Linked DNA regions of Diceros bicornis minor. The protein of the gene in region 3 interacts with the protein of the main gene of each other region in a pairwise test. Links are inferred from orthologs where the notes say so. Each region holds a gene or a part of one and is shown on either strand. Other genes may lie near its edges.

Region 1 (7,379 bases), on a different chromosome or scaffold from region 3:
AGAGATAGAGGGAGGGAGGGCAGGACAGAGAGGCAGATGGGTCAGACAGAGGCCAGAGATGGCTGGCTTATCCCAGGGCCTCGCCAGGACCTGACCCACGGGCAACACCTCGTGTGAGTCTGTGTTGTGACCGAGTGTCTGGGGAAGAACATGATGGCAGGGTGTGGTCTGATAAAGACGCCCAGAACGTTCGTCAGAACAGCAAGGGTGGTCTTCTCCGGGTGCTTTGCACGCTTAGGATTCTGCCCCTCCCTTGCTCTGGATTAGCCCCCCTCAGTGTAAGCTTTAAGGCCCCTCACACTCCTGCTCACCACCAGGCGTGACAGCACCATGGTGACTCTGGAACCTTCCATGAGAAATGCCTGCTTCCCATTCAGTCAATGATGCCTACCACCTGCCTCCAATGCATTAACATTGATTGAATTCTTTTAAAAAAAAAAAATTAGGAGATTTGGGGGAATTTAAATATGAGCTCGATGTTAGGGAATGACCGTTGACTTTCTTAGGTATAAAAATGATGTTATGGTTATAGGGGAATACTGACAAAGAGCCCAATCTTAGGAGGCGGTGCTGAGGTGTTCACAGCTGCAGTGTCACAATGTCTTACATCCAAATCATTCAGAAAATGTTACATATATATGCACACATGCACATAGGGCAAATATGGCAAAATATTAGTAATCATTTTATTTAGGAGGGGTAGTATTTTCATAACACTTTAAAGCTGCTTTTCTTGAAATATCATTTATGCTCATCACTGTTATAAAATCCTGGTATTTGTTAGACCTGCCGTTACATTTTATTATTTTACATGTTGGTAGAGAGGTACATGTATTACCATATCACAAATTGTTTTAAAAAAAATATGTCCATAGCTGCATTTCAGTACAGCTGGTTTCTTTTGTGATCCTATGAACTTAATTTTGTGCATTTAGAAACATTTTGCTGAGACTGTGTCCACAGGCTTCACAGACTTCCAAAGGGGCTTGTGGCACAGAAAGTAAAGGAACCCCTGCCTTGGTGCAAGTTTGACCCCAACCTTGTTCCTGGCCTTGCCCGAACGCTGGCTTCTGGGAGGGCTGAGCGCCCCACCCCCCTCGTATGAAGGGAAAGCTCGGGTAGTGGAGCCCCGGTTGACCCAGCTGGCAGCAGGAAAGCCCTCACATGTTCTACCTCCGCCCTTTGGCCTCACTCACCAAGGCCGTCTGTCTGTCATTCCCCGTTCTTCCCTCTCCTCCTCCCTTTCCCTTTCATTATCCCTTCCACCTCCACACTCTCTGAGCCCTCCCTTCAGCCTATTTTTGAACATCTCTGAGGATAATGTCTTTTCCGTGGCTCCCTGGGAGACACTACCACCTGCTGTGGCTCGTTAGATACGCTAGAAAAAAACCATCCCCAGGCCTCAAGGGCAAGAGGAGTGTGGTTCCAGGCAGTTAGCAGGTGGAGGGGGACCAGGGAGGTCTCAGCAGTGGGAACAATGGAGTTGTATCCTTGGAGTTGGGAGCAAGGCTCTGGTCCCCCTGCAGGAGGTGTGAGAGGTTCACCTGCCCTTGGTGAGTACAACGCCACCAGCCCCCTCTCCCGCCCCCAACCAAGCAAGGACGGTGCAGGCCCTGCAGGGAAGCTGTTCTCTCAGCACAAAGGCAGCCCCGCCCAGGCTCCACCTCTGAAGCTGGGCTCTAACAGCTGAGCTGGACATCTGCAGGCCATGGCGAGGAGCTGCCCTGCATGTCCCCCAGGACCCGTGAGCACAGAGCGGCACCTGCGCTGGGCTGTCCCAGGGCACCCGCCACTTCACCGAGCAGTCAGAGCGGCTCTGCTGAAGCCGGACCCTGGGTCTGGGCAGAGGCCTCGCAGAAGGTGCGGAGAGTAGGCGCTCCCCTCCCTGACGGACCTTCCTCCCAGCCCCGTTTTTGCCAAGGTACAAGGCCAACTTCACAGATTGCAAATTGACCTTAGCGGGTTTTTTCGGCAACATAGAAAAATATTTAGAGTAATTCACCAAGCCAGGTGTGACTCAGACCTACACCTAGAGGTGCAACTAGGAGGGGTAAGCGCTCAGATCCAACTGACCACAGTTGGAGGGGGCTGATCCCCAAGGAACTCTACCCTGATCCCACAGTCACAGCTCAGACTTTCCTTCCCAAGCCTGGTCCTCTCCCTGGAGCCCACCCTGCACTGCTCTGTCCAGGCCCGCTCTCCTGGGTGTGTTATCAGGACTCAGACAGCTCCGTGACTAGGAGGACTGAGGCCCGCACATCGCCGGTGTGTTTGTTCACGCCTGTGTCCTGGGAGTCTGACTCTGCACCTTGGGTCTAGTAGGTCCTCGAGTCACAGTTCTCAAATCGATGAGAGAATCTCTGAGGTGGGTTTCACCTTGCTTCCCCCTGCCTGTGTCCCCCCCACAAAAGCAGAAGAGAAAATGCTGGGGCTGTGTTCTTCCAGACAGCCTCCTGGTTCCAGAGCAGACAAAAGCTATGGCTTCCCGTGGGTCCATAAGGCAAGGACCAGGCCACGGCCCGGAGGATACTGCAGAGTCCGTCCACTCCTGTGGAACAGATGAGGACTGACGGGCCTCCCTGTGGCCATCTGGGCCCTGGACTCAGACTGCTCAATAGGCTGTCCCCAGCCTGCCACAGCCCTGAAGCCACCCCTCCCAGCTCCAGGCTCGTGGGCCTCTGCTCTAACTTCTAAAGGCTCAGCTGCTCCCAGGGTGCCACCCTGGGGAGACCACCCTCTTACCTGGCTTTCTGAGGTCAGCCTCTGCTGAGGTGCAACGTCCAGCAGGGGGTCCTGCTTTCTGTTTCGCAGTCTGGGAGAAGAGAGTGTCTGGTCTTTTCAGGGAAAAGCAGCAAGTTCGGCAGCCATAGGAGAGCAGGGTAGAGGGGAAACTACGTCCTAAAAATGCCTCCTTCCTCTTTCTCTTCTGCTGCTGGCTGCTGCCTCATGCTTTTTCCTCTCTTTCTGTCCCTCAGAAGTTGTGCTGAGAGCAAACAACACTGACCAGAGGAGGGATCCAGCCTGGGCTGGTGTTTGTGGAGTGCGTGTGTGCACGCGTGTCCCGAGAGGCTGGAACCACAGCTCCTCTGATGAACCCCAGAGGCGGGCCAGCTCCTGATCTGTGGTTGCCATGGAGACCCACCTAAGCCTCTTTCACCTCGAGCTGTATTATCTGTAGAGGGAGCCCGTCTGACCTAACAGAGACACCTGAGAAGACTCAGGGGGAGAGAGAGCGCCTGCCTCCAGATGGCATCCTCCGCCCCTTCCTTCCCTGGCCTGCGTTTAGGGTGGTGCAAACTGGGGGAGCAAAACCACGGTTACCGTACCCTCTGCAGAGCCCCGAGCGGACTGTGGGCAGATGTTTCCAGCTGCTCGGTGGATTGTTCCTGGCCAGAGCTCAGCTCTTTCCACTACTCCCTCCCCCAGGAGACGGGTGCTTCTGGGTGCAGAGGGCAGGGGCCTGAAAGGATAGTCTTCCCCTTTGCCTCACCACGTCCTTTCCTGTCCTCCTCCTTGCTAATCAAGATTCTCTCCTTCTCTCAAGGCAAGTTCAAGTGCAGAAAGTTCCTCTGACTTTCTGGAGGAGGGGTGAGGGGGAGGAAAAAATCCAGGGAGAAGAGGGACCATGGACTGTGATTATTGATTTTGAGGTGTTCGAGGTAACATGCGGGGCTGGTAGGAGCCTCCTGTTGCTGCTCTCTGGCATCCCACACTCACATCTGGGCCTCCTGCCTGTCTCCATGCTCTGGACACTCTGTCAATTGGAAGCTATTCTGGCTACAGGCCACGTGTGGGCCAGCCTGCGCCTAACAGCCATTCGGAGGCACTGACACAGATGCCTGTTGCCCTGTGAGGGGCCTCGGGGTGCTGTAATGGGTACTGAGCAGCATTATAACAGATCTCAGGGGATACGATAGCAGGTACCAGGTGATGGAGTGACTTCTGGACACATCTAGTCCTGATTGTGTTGGCAATAAAGCAGAAAGCATAGCCAAGAAGAAATTAAACTATGCCTGACGAGCTGACTCAGATGCACACCTGCCTGCCTGCAGGTTGTGATTTTTTTTCCTTGTGTGATATGCCACTTTGTGCTCACTCTGTGGCTGGTTCCATTAGGCATATCTGCCTTCCCTCCTTATCCACCTTCTCAAGCAGGAGTCTTGAGTCGGGAGCTGAGTCATACACTTCTCTTGACAAGGTCACAGCACAACAGTCCCAGACATTGGGAGGGTCACTTGGGGATGGGAGACTCCCACATTTTGAGCTAAAGATAATCTCCTCTGACTTACAGTTCTCAAGTGGCCTCCACCCCAGGGCCAGCAAAAGCTAGAGCAACCTGAGACAGGTAACCAGGAGTCCCCATCTCAGAGCATTTCACTGCCGTCCTGGAACTTCCCCAAGGGCAGGAATTCTAAGGCATGTCCACGCTGGGGGGAAGGGAGCAGAGGGAAGAAAAGCCTCTGCCCTCCTTTTGGGAAAGTTGCTAGAAGTGACGAGGAGAATGAGTCAGTAACCAAGTCAGACACTTATTCCTGCAACACGTACGTCTAGAGCACCGTTCGGTACAGTCACGATGCTAAGAGCTGGCCAAGGATGGGTGATCCCATTCCCCTCCCCTCTCCACACTTCCCAGCCAAGCCTCCATGAGGCTAGGTGGAATGAGTAGGAGAGGAAAGTCTTGCAGGAGGGTGGGGAGTAGGGCCAGTATTAGGGTTCAGAGCTAAAGGCTTTTATCTCCCTGCGGTACAACCTTGGGTCTACTACTGACCATTCTATTTGAATGAAAACATTCATCCTTTTTCTACAGCCCTACACTAGTCTTAGCATGTCACCCTTCAAACACACAAGCACAATAAATGTAAATGAGATTGTATGGGTCAACGTTTTGAGCCATCTAAAGGAAGATGCCATTGCAGCAGTGTGCTGAAACAAGATGTGAGCTTTAGGACTCCTGACCTGTGACTCTGGGGAACACACACACAGATGACCAGGTTTTTAGCATCCTCCCTCCCAACAGAGCTGTCCCTTTCCCCGCACTTTTCAGTGTTGCCCATGACCAGGAGAGGGGGCCATCCCCACCTTCCTTCCCTCCCCTGCCTGCTGCCTTGACACCATAACTCAAAGATGGCTTAGTGTTTGTGTTGATTGCTCATTTATTTTGATTTGTTAGCCTGTGGAGCCTTTGTGATTATCCATGCTGTGTGAATTTGTACTAGAGAGGGATGATGGTGGTTGTTTTTTCTCTCATTTGGCATCAATGGAAGTTGCTGAAGCATAGCTAAATATTCGCCAACCATTTTAATGGAGAAGCACCAGTGGGGCCCATGACATCACCTCACAGATGGCGTTTGATTAATAAATTGGAGATGGGAAATTAAGAAGCCATTGGGTGCAAGGCTGGATTAAAAACTGCAGGGGGATTTGAGAAGAGCCTTGACCCCAGATGTGAGGCTGCGCATATGGGAGTGCTCCCACTGTTCCCTCCTCCCTGGCTTCTTTCCGCTCGGTCGTGAATAGGATTTTCAGAGTCTAGCAGAGCTCCATATTGCCCAAATCCTGAATGAGACTGAATGAAACTGACATAATATCCAGGGATACAGACCAGACCTGCATTTACCCATATCTCTTCTCTCTGGCTAGCCCTCTTTCCACTCCTCTGGCCACATTTACTTCTCCAGGTAAAGGAAGCACTGTATCTGACTATAGGAAAAATGAGAACGCTCACCTTTCTCCCAGCTGGCTTGCTTAAGCCCCTCTCTCCCTCTCTCTCCTTTCCCCTCTCTTCCCTCTAAACTCATTCTGTTTAAAATGTATATACATTAAACTAAAGGGAACTCTGGAGGGAGACGTAATGCATTTCTCATTCATTCAGGAAGTGTTTATTGACCATCAAGTGTCTATTGACAGACAGCACCTTGATGCCCCATTTCCACAGAATTCACTCACCACCGACTTCTTTTAGGTTCTGCCCTGTGGTTTGACAGACTGATCTGAGGGCCAGTGGCAGAAACAGCTAGCTGTCCACCAAAGATTCACACCCCTCTTCCAGAGTGTAGACATCTTCCTGGGAAGTAGCTGTCCAACCAGGGACTACATTACCCAGCCTCCCTCGCATCTAGGTGAGGCCGTGTGGCGATGGAATGTGGGTGGAAGGGATGTGTGCCACTGCAAGGCCTGGCTTAGAAAAATCTCCCGTGCAATTCTCCACCTTCTATCTTTTCCCACTTGCTGCTGGTTGGCAAGGACTCTGAGGCCCTAGAGGATGGTGGAGCCACAATTTTGAAGGGGCCTAGGTCCCATGTGGCAGGCTGCCCACCAATCACCATGTTGAACTCTAATATGTGCCAGAAATTTATTGGGCCAAACCACTAAGATTTGGGGTTTCTCTGTTATAGCAGTTGGCACTACCCTAACTGGGGCAAAATCCTGTGAGAAGGGAGGGATGTGGAAGCTTTCTGCTATTTCTTTGGTTCCTGGAGATCAGAGCTCTTCCCTGACATGTTCTCTCCCAGTTTATCCATCTTCATCCCAAAGAAATCATTACTTCACCCCATATTGGCTCATGCCTTTGTGCATGATGTACACTCTGCCCCAAATGCCCTCCCCCTAGAAAGTCTCAGCCCTCAAAGCTTAGCTCCAATGGTAAAACCTCAAAGAATTTTCCTGTCTGCCCACCTGCTTCCTCCACTCCACTCTCCGAAGCTTCGTTCTCGTGTACATACGGTCGATCCTAATTACCTGCCGATTCCACATTTGCAAAGTTGTTTACTCGCTGAAATTTATTTGCAACCCCCAAATCAATACTTGCAGCAGTATTCCCGTCATTCCAGACATGTAAAAAGCGTTGAAAAATTAGACAGCGAGCACATTCCCAGCTGAAGTTGAACGAGGCGATGCTCTGCCTTCCCGTTTCAGCTCTCATAGCCTACCTGGGTGTCCTCTTCACGGTGTAGTTAGGGCTGCACTTTCCACACTTTGTGCTTTTTCTTGGTGATTTCACTGTTTAAAACGCCCTCTAAGCGCAGTGCTGAAGCACTGTCTGGCGTTCCTAAGCACAAGAAGGCCGTGATGTGCCTAAAGGAGAAATATGTGTGTTGGATGAGCTTTGTTCAAGTATGAGTTATGGTCCATGAGTTCAATGTTGGTGAATCAACAGTATATATAAATAAGGTGTCTTTAAACAGAAACACATAAAACAAAGTTATGTATTGATCGGTTGACAAAAATGCCGTGACCAGAGGCTCACACACGCGAACCTAATGCTGTACCTCCTGTAGGAGCAATGGCTCAGTGTCTGCTAATTCAGTGTTGGTAGCGACTTTTAGAGTGTAACTAACGCAAACAATGAGCACCTGGTTCAGCATCCTGCAGAATAAGGA
Region 2 (7,212 bases), on a different chromosome or scaffold from region 3:
AGCTGGTGGACTGGGCACCACACTCTACTGCCCCCTGGGCAGAGGACAATGTCACACCACAAACAGTAATAGAGGGATACTGATTTCTGCGAACAAATCTGTCCATGGCGGATATGGAACGCGAGGACAGTGTACATACAGTAGCAGCGATTTCAACTCCTTCCAACTGGCCCCTGCTGCCTACCCTCTCTTAGCATGCATGCTTGGACACAAGATCAAAAGACACATTCTGAAGGCCCCAAATTAGGCTGTTATTCTTCCTAGCCAATGCACCTGCAATTGGTCCATAAAACTGCTGAGAAAAATTGGCAGCTTTACCCAAGTAACTACGGAAATCCTCATAATAACTCTACAAAGGTGGAAGGGTCAGGTCCTCATCCTCATTTTAGAAATGAGGAAATGCAGGAACAGAGGTGAAATGACTCGCCCAAATTCGCAGAGCTGGTTGGAGCTGCAGCCAAGAACAGAAGTGTGTCTGCCTGCAGACCCAGGGCTCTTTCTCTTCTGCTTCAGCATCTGTGCTGTGGGATCGGCTTTTAAGTCAAGTCATCTTATCCTGGGACCACACCCCTGGTCCGGAGGGTGTGGGATGTGTGCAGTGCCACACTAGTCCATGTTAGGCAGTACCATGGGGAGGTTCCAGAGGGCAATTAAAATTTCAAAATGCGTTTTCAGGTTAGATCACTCCAGACCTACTCCATCCTGTGGCGTAACTAGGAATAATGGCTGCACGTAATCTGCTCTAATGAGTAGGTGCTCAATAAATACTTGTGAGATGAATAAATGAATGGATGGCCAACTGCACTTCTCACATGCTAGGATAACATGAAGGGCAAGGGCTTCAGTATGATTGTACGGCAGGTGTTGCACAAGGAGAATCTGCCCAGGGGCCGGTGAAGCTGGCCCAAAAATCATCTTCTAAAACCTAAAATGCAGAGTAAATGTGAAAACTTTGGGAGGCTTGAGACAGAATAACTCCTTTGTTTGGAGAACTAAGCAGAACAGGAACTTGAAGTTACAAATGAAAGTAGTTTTGGGGTACAAAGCTTTGGAAGGTACCAGGGTGTAAAGTGCAAGAACAGATAAAGGAGATTGATTTCAGTGATTAGACTCAAAGAACAGTAGTTAGTAGAAAGAAGAGCATATAGGCCAAAGAAGAAAAACACACACTTGATTCACAGGTCGCTCTCCAGGGTAGAATGTCAAGTGGACACCTCAATGTCCACTTGATCTCTTACATCTAGATTTGGCCAAACTCCACTGATCCGGGTTGCGACTAGCTCCAGGCCGCGACTAGCTCCAGGCCATCCCTGGAGATCCCCAGGCCTTCCAGAGATTGGCAACCCTCTTGAGCACGTCCCAGGCTAAGGTGGGCTCTTCAGGATCCTCTTGGAAGGGGGGCTGCCTCAGGAAGCACCCCCTTCCTGGCAGTCAGGCTAAGAGCTAGACGCAGGGTTACACGGAATGCATGGGCGGAAGGGCCACTTAACTGTGCTACGTTCAGTCCCCAGCTCCCCTTAATAATTAGATGGGGGAAATGATAATGTATTCGGTCTGCTAACACAATGGAGTGAGTTTCAAAAAGCTCCAGGAACCTGTTTTGCTAGAGAAAGAACTTTACTATGAAACATGCTGACTGAGGGATTAAAACATACCTATATTTTTTTTAATGTCCCATTGAACTATGGTGACATTCCAGAAAAAGCAGAGCGCCAGTTAAAAGGATATTTTTTTTTGCTTTAGGAAAAAACAGCCCTAGTCCTGGTTCAGAAACTGTGTCTACAGCATTGTGTCTCTTTTATTACTACTTAATTTCAAAGAAGGAGAGTTGAGGGGGGAAGAAAAGCAAGGCTACCTCCTGTAGACAATGCTCTCCCTTATCAGGGCAGACTGCTGTCTGGTTTCCTGTCTTGAGCTCTGGCATTACTGCTTCAGATGAGAAACCGGGTCGAAGAAAGGGACAGATCAGGCTTGAAAACGAGAATGCTAAAAACCATCATAATCTTTCTCTTCCAACTTACCCCAAGATGAATTCTGACTAGAATATTACGTATATAGCAAGCCAGATATCAATTGTTCTTTGATTCTAGGGATTTTTTTTTTAAAGCTAGAATCAACGATAAATGAAGCACTTCAGAAAGAAACCCAATTTCCAGAATAATATAATTTCTAGTATTTAAAAGTTGAGGTCGCTTGTATTTACTTTATTATTATTTTTTAAAACACAACTGGGTGTGAAAACAGAGTTGGAAGTACCACTTAAGAAAGCTGTTCATTATAGCAAAAATGTTGATTTGGAAATATTAAGAAGGCAAGTATTTAATGGGGGGATGGAGATAAAATGGAATTAAATTAGGAATAATGATTTGCAGGGTCAAGAGATGAAACTATATCATTCCCATTTTTTTTATTGTAATTATAGTAACTATCAGACTGGTATAATTTTTTCAATTGCTTAGCTTAGCATTTAAAAGCCTGCAAAAATTTTTTTTCTGATAGAATATGTTAGACCCTAATCATCTCTATTAACCACTTCCTCTCTCCCCAAATGGTGAGGCAAGGATTTGGGGTAAGCCAAATAAAGAGTCTGTCTACCAAATCTAGGTGGATTGTTAACAACTTTGGAACTAAAACAAAAAACGTTGCTTCAATTTGGGTTTACTTATGATTTTAGTTTAAAGGCCTCTTGTCCTACAAGTCAGGTTAATATTTCAAATTTGCTTCTTCCAAAGGAGAAAGGAAAATTCTTATTGAGACTTTCCAAAACTTCCACCTTTTTTCATGGAAGGTTATCAGTAGCCTACCATTTATTCTAGTAGCTTTTTTAATATCATATTATATATATCCCTTTATCCATAAAGAATGTGGTGGGACATGAAGTTAAAACCAAAGTACTATTATCATCAATTTTGGGGAGGATCGGGTCTAATTTGCTGCCTCAGCAACTCTGAATTAATTCCATTAGAGAACGTTGTAGATAATCCCTTTAGATTTTAAAGAAAATCCAAAAATAAGTTTAAAAAAAACAACTTGCCAAAAGTTTTTTCTGATCATTTCTTTAAAACTTATTTTCTGAAGAATCAAGAGAAAAATAATTTGTTAAAGTAGGTTTTAAATAGTTAACCCAGAAATTTGTTAACTTAACTGCCAATACACATACAAAAAGAAAAAAAAGTGTTATGAAAAAGTTGTTATTGTAAAACAATAAAAACAAAAGCATTCTTCTGTTTTCAAAAGATTAGATTAAAATTTTCCAAATTATCATTAAATGAATTTATTTCCAGTTCTCCTTTTCTTTGAGCTTTTTATTCTTAAAACAGTTTGGAAATCAGATCTAGGATACAGTAAAATCTTCACCTTCAAAAAAATTATCCTAGTATTTAAATCTTTGTCTTCAAAAAGAAATAATCCTGCAGTTTTCTCAATGTATCTTATGCTTTGCTTCAATACTTTCTCTAAAGATTTTTTCCTTAAACATAAGCAAGACTTTTGAGTCAGCCTAGGCTGCCAAGACTGCTTGAGTTCTCCATCCAATGAAGCCTGTGCCTTGAGCGTCCTGTATTAATGTGAAGAAGGGTGGGCCACATCTTTCAGATAATGCTACATCTTCTAAACTGTAAGGTGATAATCCTGATCCAAAATTGACAGCTTCAGGGCAAAACGCCAATCTGAAAACAAACACGCTACCCACTTCAAAACCAGAATGAAAAACAAACAAACAAATACAACCTCCTTTAGATTTCTAGCCAATATGCACACAAATTTCTTAAAATTACAATTTGGCAATGAAAAATTTAAAAAGACAAAAGTATGTATTCACCCATATAAACATACTGGAGCAAAGGGTGTATGTAAAAAGGTTAACTGACTTCTCATTATGACATAACACAGGCATCTTAAGCAATCGCAAGTGTGCAGAGACATGATAACTCCCAGGGTGGGGATAGGGAGTTTAGGGGCAGGGACCATGGCCTGGTCTGGGCTACTGATCTACCAGAAAACAGCCTGAAACAGGAAAGAGCACACATATGCCACTTGGAATGTATGACGCAAACCCCAGCCTTGAAACAAAGAACAGGAAACAGCTCTGCTGGCTGTGCTGGAGAGAAAGCACAGAGAAACATTTAGCCGGCCCTCCCTGACCCTATATTCATGAGCAGCTGGAGTTTTTTAAGACAACGGGGGATGGGGGTTGGTGGAGGTGTTTGTTCTATGGGTGTGAATAATAACACCAGCTTTATACAGGGGACCTGCCCTATTTACAAATAGGAGCTTCCACATACAGTAAACATCATAAGTGAACATGTGATTTTATCATATACAAGCAGCAGAGACCTTCCTAATTAACACCAGCCTCCCTACAGATTTCTTTTGTCTCTTTCTCCCCCATCCCAACGGCTGGTCCCTAGCCATGACCAAATTCTGGGTTAGGGTAATAAGTATTGTTCAGCCTCAGAGCATCATGAGGAAAATGAAGATAGAGTACTGCTGTTAACAATTCAGATTACAATTGGGTTATCCCACCTAACCGAAAATTGGACCAATTTTAAGTGTCCCTTAGCCACAGAACTAAATTCCAAGACACAGAGCGTGGGACATCTAGAGGCAACCCAAATTTTCAGTCTTCAACTGCATAGTTATAAACATTTGCACACAGCTGCACATCTGTGCTACACGTACACACATGTACAGAAATTCACCTTTTGAGACTGTGATTTTGTTCCTGACATTTAATTTAATCCAAAATTGTTAGACAATCTGTAGAATAGAGTATCAATTTTTACAAGACATCCTAAAATGTCTATTTTCTTTTTGGTATTAAGGTAGTAAAAGCCATTCACAGTCCTTTTCCCATTACTTCTCTTTATTTTGTCAGCCAGGTCTGTTTAACTCAGGTAGGTTTCCATTATTAGAGATTTAAGAATCTGTGTGTAGACATAACTACAGGTAAAAAAAAAAAAAAAAGGCATCACTGTGCCCATAGCAACCAGAAGATTGAGTTTTAATTTAGAAACTTTGCAGTGAAAAAACAATAGCTTTCTCCAAAGTTATATGGCTGTGTTTTATATCTGACAAGGGTTTATGGTCTAAATAGCTACTTTTCTTTGTTATTCTCACATTAGGATTTTTATACTTGCATTTTCCTTCACACAAGCAGAATGTTTCTTACAGTTTCTCTTCATTGAACTTACCAATAGTACATTAGGCTTTTCTCTTCTAATTGTTCTGCAGCAAACCCCACTGACTGTAGAAATTGAGATGTTTCTCTAGGGAATTTAAATTAATCAAACATCTCACTTCAGTTTTCTGTTAACAGCCTAATGTCAACTAACATACTCCATGTTTCAAGCCAGAAGAAACTCATTTGTCCACTTTCTTTAAAAAATAGTACTAACTCCTCAAATTTTGGAGATGTTAATGCTCTCAGATTTTCCCCTAAAAGCAAGTCTTCCCTCGGGTTAGACAGATTATCATCCAGCTGGATTTCTCTTATAAAAATACTCCTCTAATTCATACATAAAACACTCTGAAAAGGACAGCACAAAATTGCTCTGTGGAAAAACTTATAATGAACAACTGCCCTCGTCCCCACTTGATTTTGTTTAATAATTACGGATACTAAATCTAAATGAAGTCAGATTCATACCACTTCATACTTTTCCCCATGTACCAGACTCTTGTGAGAATTAATATATTTAAAGTGTCTTGGGTGATATTAACGGAAAAATACGTCCTGAGTTAGTAAAAAATTCAGCATAAAACGTTTATTTTAGTGAAATACAAAATGAGCAATTTCCAATTTCCTTTTAACCCGCCTTATTAAAAGTAAGTCCCATTCACATGTCCTTCATCTAGTATTATTGTATGATGCCGTTCAATTTAAAGCAGAAAAGATTCTCCTTGTTATCTGCCAAAGAAGTGGCTTTGACAATTCCAGGTATTATCTGCCATCTCCAAGAAAGCCACTCTGAAACGTTAGGTAGGTCCCAAGGGTCCAGGTCCAGGGATCAGTTCCTCGCTCCCCACCCGGCTCGGGTCCCTAACGCCGCAGGCAGTTGCTTAAGGCGCTCTCCGCCTCCAGCCACGCTGCAATCCTCGCTCCAAGCACTGCGGCAGGTTCTCTCCGTGCCCCCGAGGAGGGCTCTCCAAACCCGGCCAGCTCTTTTCTCCTGCCCCCGAGGATCCAGACGCCCTGGCAGCTCTGGGTTCCAGAACCGAGAATGGGATGCTGCCTCCAGTCCCAATTGCCCTAAGTTTCTTCCCGGAGGGCCCGCGAGGCTGCTCCAAGTTTGCTCCAGCGGGCGAGCGGCCGCGCGCCCCGTCCGAGGAGGAGGGCGGCGGGGGGCGCAGGCGGAGGGCGGGGAGGGGGAGGGCGCGGGAGCGGGGGGTGGGGGACCAGGAGGGGGAGGAGCAGGAGCGCGCGGCCTCGGCGCTACCTTTCTCCAAACAACGTTGCCACACGCGGAGAACACTGAGATTTCTGGGGCTTTGGAGGGAATCGCGGGCGGGCGGGCGGCGGCCGGGGGACCACACAGGTGAGCCCCCACCCGCGCCCTCCCCGGGGCCGCGGCGGGCGCTGCAGCCCTCGCTCTCCGCACTCGCGGATCTTCACGGTGGCCCTCCCCAATCCCACACTTTCAACTGCTGACCCCGGGGGCCCCCTCCCCCTCGCCCCCCCTCCGCCCCCACCCCCGGCTACGAGGAGCTGTTGCACTTTCCCAAGCCCACAGGCGCCCCCACCCCCGCGCTGCACCCCCAACCAATTCACTGCGCGCCCCCCTGAAAAAAATGAAACCGGACGAGCCGAAAAGGGGGGCAGTAGGAGTCGGGCCGAGAAGGAAAGGTGAGGGAGAAGGGACTTACTTTTCGAGGCGCGGTGCTGAGCGCTGCAGACGAGAAATAAAGGCCCGGATGCGGGCTGCCTTGGACCCCGCGAATGCAGCAATGTCAGCGCTCCAGTCCGGGCGCAGTGGGCGGCGGCGGCCGCAGGGGACGGGGACGGGGACGGGCGCGCGTGCGGCGGCCGCTCGCGCTGCGCTCCGGTCGGGCCCGGGCTCCGCGCAGCTCCGCTCCTGGCTCCCCTCTGGCTCCTGGCACCAACTCCGGGCAGTCACATGACGCCGGCGCCGCTCGCTCTGCGAGCCTCCCGGGGCTGGCGGGGTAAGTAGAGGCTGGGACCCAGGGTGGGAGGGTCAGGGAGGGGAGAGGGAG
Region 3 (7,809 bases):
AAAAAACAGAAATAGGGGGCTGGCCCAGTGGTGTAGTGGTTAAATTTGTGCACTCTGCTTCAGTGGCCTGGGGTTCGCGGGTTCAGATCCCAGGCACGGACCAACGCACGGCTTATCAAGCCATGCTGTGGCAGCGTCTCACATATAAAGTAGAGGAAGATGGGCAGATGTTAGCTCAGGGCCAATCTTCCTCACCAAAAAACAGAAATAGGCCTTATGTTTAGAGATACATATGGAAATATTTGTAGATAAAATGATATGATGCCTGAGATTTGCTTTGAAACAATCCAGTAGGTGTGTGGGTTGGGGAAGGAAGAGATAAGTCAAGATCGGCTGTGTTTTAATAATTGTGGGAGCTGGGTGATGGCCACCTGGGGCTCATTCCTCTATTCTTTTGTGTATATCTGCAAGTTTCCATAATAAAACGTTAAATGAAAGCAAGACAGGCAAGACTAAGCACTATATCACATAATCAAACATGTATGAGACAAAACCAAACAAAAAGCAAAAGAAAAAACAAATAACAAATAAACCATAAAATGGGGTGCTGAACCCAAAGTCCACGATGGTGGTCACCACTGTGGAGAGAGGTAAAGGGATGGAATGGCGTGGAACACACACTGGAAATAAGTTATAGACAGGATGCGGCAGTAAATTAGTGGCTGTTCAGAAGATAAGAAGGAAAGAGAGAAAAAGGGGGCAGGCAAGACTGGAGAGCAAGCCCTGGATGAGGTGAGGTGCTGGCCAGGAGGGCAGCCGCTCCCTCTCACCTTGCTGTCAGAGTCCACACGCTCATCCACAGAGTAGGAATCGTAGTAGAGGCTGAAGTCGTCACCTACTACTGTCTCCCACTCCTCCAGGGACCCGGGGTTCCCCTTCTCCAGGGTCACTTCTCCCGAACCCCGGGCAGAACCCAACTCCTCCGACTAGAAAAAGATAAAAAAATTGAAGCTGCTCCCCCCCACCCATCAACCTCCCATTTCCTGGAAGGGCAGCCCCCCAGGCGGAGAGGGCTTGTTCCCTGCCTCTCCTGGCTCACCAGGCCACCTCCTGAATTCAGCTTCCTCCTCTTGGCCACATCTGGAAGGAGAGAGAGAAAGGCGTGAGGTCTGTGCTCTAACCTGTCAGGACAGGCCAGACCAAGCCTCAGGTGGGTGGGGGGTGGGACTGACCTGAGGTCACCTTCCCCAACGAGTGCACATCATCACTCATGCGGAAATGCTGCACTTCAGGGGGCCGCTTCTCAGGGACTAGGGGCTGGGGGCAAGAGGGAGCACATTTAAGGTCAGGGAGCCTTTAGCCTGGAACCCCAAGTGGGGGTGGGGTGGTGAGCCACACCCTCAAAAATGCCCTCTGAAGCTCCAGTAACCAGAACATGAACTGCTGTATCCTGGGAGGAAGTGTGTCAAGCACATCCCATACCTAACACTCACTCACCTCTTCACACAGAAGCAAGCCCTTTCTCCCCATTTTACAGGTGAGAAAACGAAGGTTAAGGCCTTCACCAAAGCTACCCAAACCACACCCAGAACAAAATGATATGCAGAACCCTAAGAACACTGTCATAAAGCTTCTGAGATTCTGGGGCCTTTGTCATTTTCCTCCTCTGTCATTTCTGTGGCCCTCATCTCCTTCCCTGTAGAGATTTATAGTAAAATCTTTAAAAATGGAGCAGGGGCAGCTTCAAAGAAGGGAGGAAAAGTTCCCTTGAGACTTGCTTTGAGGTAGAAAGGAAGAGTGGTTTAAAGTTTCTTTACATAGTCATTACCATAAGAGTAATTAAGGCATTAACTACATAATTAGCTCATTGACATTTCTCTCTTCTACTCCCCTCTCCCCAAGAATGTTAACTCCAGAAAGACAGGAAGGAATATGTCTGTTCACAGATTAAGCCCCAGCCTAGAATTTGACACACAGTAGCCCCTTGGTAAATACATCAGGCTGTGAATAGATTAGAGACCGCTTAAAGCTAAATTGTAGAAAAGCCCACAAGGGGTTTACGGTTGATTACCCCTGTCTCTCCCACTCCCAGCAGCCCTCCCCCAATCCTCACCTGTCCATTGCCTGGTTTGGACATGGTTTTCCTGGCTCGGTGGACCTTGGGCTGCCCCTCTGGGCTGGTTGTAGCTGGAGGGGGTTCAGGCCCTGCTGCTACTGCCCCCTGGGCCCCCGGCATACTCAGCAGCCTCATAGCCAAACTCTGGACTGATGGGGGTGATTTTCCAGCCCCTGTCATTGACATCTTGGCCCGGCTGGGACAGGCACCCCCCTTGCTGGGAGAAGACGGGAAGGACTTTGTGGCATGGCCTGGAAAACAGACAGGGCAGGCAGGCAGAAGGCAAGATAAGAGGGAAGGCAGAGTCAGAGGATACCCCACCTCACCCCCTAGACTCCCCAGCCTCTCACCCAGCAGGATGCGGCCCCCATCTCCCTCGAGATTCTCCGGTTCATCCCCAATAAGCGGTGTGGCCCCTACAGGAGTGTCAGCCCCCTCATCACCAACGGTCACGGTGACAGAGGCTGGGGATGACGCGCCAGTAGGCTCCAGGGAGTCGGGGTTGGCCTTGGGCAGGGTCTCCTCACTACGAGGGGTGTCCCCCAAAGAGCCATGAACTGAAAGGGAAGAAAAAAGTTCAGGTTTAAGGGCTCAAGGAATCCTGTGCTGTGGGAGGTGAAGGTCCAACCGGGCCGTTTCTGCCAGAAACTCACCTCTGTCGCTGGCTCCTCTGGGCTCCTTCTCCAGCACCAGCGCCCCCATCTCAGCGGGGGCCTCCCCCTGGGAGGGGACACAAGGGATAGGAGGACTGGTCAGCCCAGTAGGAAGTTGGGGGGCCCAGGACGCCTGGGCCCTGGGAAGAGAGAGTAGGCTCCGGGGCCTACCTCTTCCTCTATGGGGGCCCCCCCTTCCGCGGCCTCGGCTGCCCGGAGGGGCCGCACGACCTCTCCCCCGGGCCCGCATCAACCCCCTCCCTCTCGGTAGACCCCGCATCTCAGGGGCCGAGAAGAGAGAAGGGGGAGGGGGCGGGGCCTCCGCGCCCCGGCCCCGCCCCCTCCTCCCGGCTGCACGCGCCGCTCCCCCTTTGTCCCCCAGGCCGCGGGGACCCCGGGCACCAACCCCTCCAGCGCCCGCTGCCCCCCAGCCCGGTGGACGGCCCCTCGTGCCCCTCGCGCGTGCTCCTGGGGCCCCGGCGCCCGCCACCCACTCGGGGGCAGCCGGCGGCTGCACGCGCGCCTCCGTGCCCACTCCCCCCACCTCCCACCCCCTGGTCCCCTCATCCGCCCCCAGTGCTGGCCCTCCGGATTGCTGCAAGTCCCGCCCGGGCCCCCCGGCCCCGTTGCACCCCCGGAGCATTGCACGGGCGCGCGCTTCCCCCGGGCGCGCGCGCGGGCATGCACCCGCCTCTCCCCCTCCCCTTCCGCACCTCGGCGGCCGCCGCCGCTGCAGCTCCCGCCGCCGCCGCCATCGCCGCTTGCGCGGGGGGCCGAGCCGGCGCGCGGCCGCCCCGGGTCACGTGGGCGGGAGAGGGCGGGCTAGGAGGAGCCTTAAAGGAGCCAGTACGTGCTTTCTGGCCTTTTTCCCCGAGAGCGGCCTTGGAGACGGCAGTGGCTGTTCTAGGCTGGGGGCTGCAGGGGAGAATTCCTTCCATTCCTGGCCTCGCCTCAGCGGGGAACCGAAGGCGAGGCACGCCTGGGTCCACGTGTGGCTTCTGCATCCCCCCTCTGGTTTTAGGTAACAAGCGGAGCGTCTGACTCTCCCGGCTCTCGGCAGCGGTTCTATTTCCAATCTGGCCTGCGTGTGCTTCTCCCGCTTCTGGTTGCTTTCAGTTTCTGGGTCACCAGATGGAAGGCTCGGCCTCAGTTTTGGCCTCGCTTCTCTAACGAGCAAGAAGGAGGCGATGGGGACGCGCGGAGGACACCTTTCCTCTTGGCTGGTTCTAGCATGCTGCTTCATGTCCCCTGGAGCAGCGTCCCCTTTTGAAAACCTGGGGCTAAATGTCTGTTATGTTTATGCCAGACATGTTACGCCACCACATGCATAGGAATCCAGGTGAGCCCCCCAGCGGCCTAAGAGTCATTAGTGTCTGGTGACACTCTAGTAACCTTTTTTGACAAACACTTCACTAGCAGAGTCAGGCACTCCGTGGGTCATAGCCCAGCCGAAAGTGGAAGTATGAATGATATTACACCAAGCTATACCAACTTGATAGCAGTGTTTAGGGTACCATCCCTTTAGGTATTACATTCTGATCAGAGTCTGGAAAATATCTGTATGATTTCACACGCAGTATTTGACACAGACAGGTGATTGCGAGATAGGGCACCTGAGGCCAATTCAAAGCCTTCTGGGAACTGTAGTTCTCTTTGGTTAAGAACTATTCCAGAGCTTTCTGGGAATTGTAGTCTTCCCTAGACCCTAATCCAGTGATTTTTAGCTTTCCCGAGGACATGCCCTTTCCCCAGACCAAGAATGCCCAAACACAGGCTCCTGCTTACAATCTCGGTGGGCACAACGGTCACACCTAGAGCCTATCCCTGGCCCTGATACCAGACTCCTCAGATAGAGGAGCAGGTCATGTGTTACCACTGCCAAACAATCACGGAACATTTGTGTTATATCTGCCAGGCGTTGAGGTTGCAGAACTGGGAGGGTCCTGGGCCAGAGGAGCCCACTTGTCACACTCCCTCTTCCCTGTTAGGGCTCCTTCAGGCATGGGACTTGCATGAGTTGTGACCTCCAGGTATTGAGCAAATGGCATCAGAAGGAGAGGCTGCCTAGGGTGGGATAGTCATTTACACGCAGTCACCAGACAGAGTATAAAGAAAAAAAAGGTTTTGTTTTTTTTTATTTTGTGGAAAACAAAAGCAGAAAAACTAAAACCCCAAACTCCAGAAAAAATCCTAAAAAATACGTTGTTTTCTTAAAAAATACTGTATATAAGTCTCTACTCCTCTCCCTCCCCCCAAACAGCCCTTCTCGTGTCCTTTCCTCTAAGTGCCCTACCCCCCACCCCCACCACTATTCACCGTTCTTGCTATTGTACCCCACTTCCCAACATCTACCCAGGATGCTCACCCCCATGTTCTCTTACCTGACACCCTACTTTGTTCTCTCTGGAGTTTTGGCGAGCCTTGTACCCACAGCCCCATTCCCCCAGCATGCAAGAACTGTCTCCCCTTCCTTTTCTGGGATTTGAGAATCCCTTCCCCCTACCACTCCCTCTCCCAAGGATCTATTCTAAGGTGGAGCATGTAAGCTGCCTCCTGCCAAATTCCCTCCCAATTCCCACCCACCCACCCCCTACCTCAAGAAATGTCAGAACCTCTCCCTGGGCAGCCTTAGCCAGGAATATAACCATTTCCAGTCCTTTTTCCTCCTCGTTTCTATAGGACCCTTTCCCTCTCTTCACATATCCATGCACTTCTAAAAGAAAACCTTTCTCTGGGACTCTGTATTTCCTTTGCCTTCTCAAAGAACCCTCTCCCTCTCCATTCTTTTCTTCTGAAGAGGCAGGGTCTTCTCTCCAAGTAATCTTCTGCCCCTCTCTCAGGATGTGTGTGTCTGCTCAGGCTCCCCACCGTACCTGCCTGCCCCCGACCCCCACCCCCCTATTCTCCTGGGCCAGAGAGCCCCCTTCCCGCCCAGCCCAGGGACCCAGCCGCCTGCCCCGCTAACGCTAGCGGATGAGGACGTTGATCTCAGCCACGCTGGCCTCTAGCACGTTCTCGGCTGTGGTCTTGCCGTGCTGCTCCTTGAGGTGCCGCCTAATGGCAGGCTTGTGGGCGAAGCGCACGTCGCAGTAGGAGCAGCGATAGGGCCTCGCTCCGGAGTGCAGGTTGAGGTGGTCGTGCAGTGTGGACTTCTGCGTGAAGCACTTGCCGCAGATGCCACACGAGTGCGACTTGACGCCGCGGTGCACGTTCATGTGGCGGTTGAGGTTGCTGCTGTGGTTGAACTGCTTGCCGCAGCGCGGGCACATGAAAATGAAGTGCTGTGCCCGCATGTGGAAGACCAGCTTCTCTACGCCCTGGAACACTTCCGGGCACTTGGTGCACTTGATGTTCTTTAGGGGGTTTCCACTGGAGAAGCCCCCGGGCAGGGGTCCGCGGCTGCCCCCCGCCCCCAGGCTGCCCCCCGCCCCCCGGGCAGCCATGGCCACTGCTGCTGCCTCCACCAGGCCCGAGGTGGCCCCCACACTGGCCCGGCCTCCGGGGATCAACAGCAGGCCCTCCCCTTCCGCGTCCTCAGACAGGCTGTAGCAGGCTTTCACCACACCCTGTGGTGGGGCCACAGTGCTGGGGGGCACACTGCTCTGGGCCAGCTCCCCAAGGTGGCTGCCCACGGAGCCTCCCATACCCAGCCCTCCTCCCAGGCTTCCGGGAGGCTTGAGCCGGTGTGCCACCTCCAGGGCCGACTCCACCTTGACAATGCAGATATCAGACACGTCCTCGTCCTCATCCTCATCCTCTTCCTCGGCCTTCAGCTCCAGGTCTTCGTCCAGTGGGAACTCCAGCTTCACAGGCCGCAGGAGGGGAGGGGGTAGAGGGGGTGGGGGTGGGGGCTTGGGGGCTGGCTTTGGGGTCCTGGCAGGAGGGAGGAGGGATTTGGTGGCACTGACACTGCTCACAAGGCTGGCATCGCTGACCCCATCCTCTTTGAGGCCTATTTTGGGCTCAATGAACTGGCTGAGGGCGTTCCGGCATTTCTCCACCACGTGCTCCATTTGCAGGTAGGAGGCGGCAGTCAGGTAGTTAACGATGTCCCTGACGGCGAATTCCAGGGCGCCCGTGTAGCAGGAGAGGAGCAGGTCGGCCACTATTCGTGCACTGTGCATCAGAGAGACCTGCAGCTCAGAGCTGGGGTTCAGCAGGAACTGGTCCCGCAGGAACGGTGAGCAGGCGGCCAGGATGACCTTGTGGCCGCGGAACTTGAGGCTGTCGGCCACAATGGTCACGTCGCAGAACCGCTCCTCTGCACGGAGCTGGTTCATGTTCCGCAGCGTAGCGGCCTCGTGGCCGGGCAGCTGGAAGCGCAGCACTTCCACCCCAGAGGCCATTGTGGCGGGGGTGGGCAACCCTGGTTGGGAAGGAAACTGGTCAGAGACAAAGGTCTCTGGCTCTCCTAAGCCAAGGCTCCAGGCCCCTCGCCCCCATTCTGGCCCGACCCCCCAGAATGAGACCACCCAGTCTTCAGGCCTCTTCCTCAGTTTCCCCAGCCCCCGGGGAGGCGCTGTCCGTCGGAGAGGAGGGAGGCGTGGTTCCCGGGGGCGGGGCAGCGGCATCCACACCCCCCAGCCTGACTGCCCGCGAGGATGGGGTGAGCCTGCGCGCCCACAGGGGAAGGTCGGGGGAAGTGGGAGCAGAAGCCTGGGGCTTTGGGCTCTGGGGTGGCCCAGGTTGCTGCCTCTTCTCACCCCGCCCCCTTTAGCCGCTGCCTCATTCCTCCGCCCCCCCTTGCACGTTTGCACGCGCCTTTCACGTCCTCCCCCCGCCGCCTGCACGCATCGTGCACGCCCCCCCCAACGTTCAGAACTCCGTGGCACGCCCCCCCAGCCCCACGACCCTGAGTGCACGCGCCTCTCACCTGGCCCGGTTCCGCGCGCTGTTTTTTTCCCCCCCTGTTTCCCCACCCCCCCCGGGGTCGGCAGCGCCCCCACGCACGGGCAGGGCCTGGGCACCGCGCAGGCGCGGGGGTGCACGGGGCGCGCGCGCGGGGCCGGCTCCGCGTGGGCGTAAGGGGGAGGGGCGGGGGCGGCTCGTGCTGTGTGTTCCAGGCCCCGCGCGCGGCGGCGTCGGCGAGGACTCGGGGAG

Evidence for each region.
Region 1: the proteins of EHMT2 (region 3) and RD3 interact in binary tests that used the Homo sapiens proteins (3 or more experiments, as listed by UniProt). The two-hybrid records come from large-scale screens. The link is inferred for Diceros bicornis minor from reciprocal best matches to the Homo sapiens genes EHMT2 and RD3.
Region 2: the proteins of EHMT2 (region 3) and KLF3 interact in binary tests that used the Homo sapiens proteins (3 or more experiments, as listed by UniProt). The two-hybrid records come from large-scale screens. The link is inferred for Diceros bicornis minor from reciprocal best matches to the Homo sapiens genes EHMT2 and KLF3.

The regions. Positions count from the first base shown.
Region 1 is NC_080743.1:77,296,503-77,303,881, forward strand, and holds the start of RD3 (protein RD3), read right to left. Parts: upstream 3,041-7,379; 5' UTR 2,743-3,040; intron 1-2,742.
Region 2 is NC_080747.1:31,813,575-31,820,786, reverse strand, and holds the start of KLF3 (Krueppel-like factor 3), read right to left. Parts: upstream 3,005-7,212; 5' UTR 1,925-3,004; coding exon 1,856-1,924; intron 1-1,855. UniProt on the Homo sapiens protein: Binds to the CACCC box of erythroid cell-expressed genes. May play a role in hematopoiesis.
Region 3 is NC_080753.1:32,913,347-32,921,155, reverse strand, and holds the start of EHMT2 (histone-lysine N-methyltransferase EHMT2), read right to left. Parts: upstream 3,011-7,809; 5' UTR 2,990-3,010; coding exon 2,710-2,989; intron 2,614-2,709; coding exon 2,407-2,613; intron 2,308-2,406; coding exon 2,054-2,307; intron 1,258-2,053; coding exon 1,173-1,257; intron 1,081-1,172; coding exon 1,040-1,080; intron 927-1,039; coding exon 771-926; intron 1-770. Other genes in the region: ZBTB12 (zinc finger and BTB domain-containing protein 12), read right to left, coding at 5,676-7,055. UniProt on the Homo sapiens protein: Histone methyltransferase that specifically mono- and dimethylates 'Lys-9' of histone H3 (H3K9me1 and H3K9me2, respectively) in euchromatin.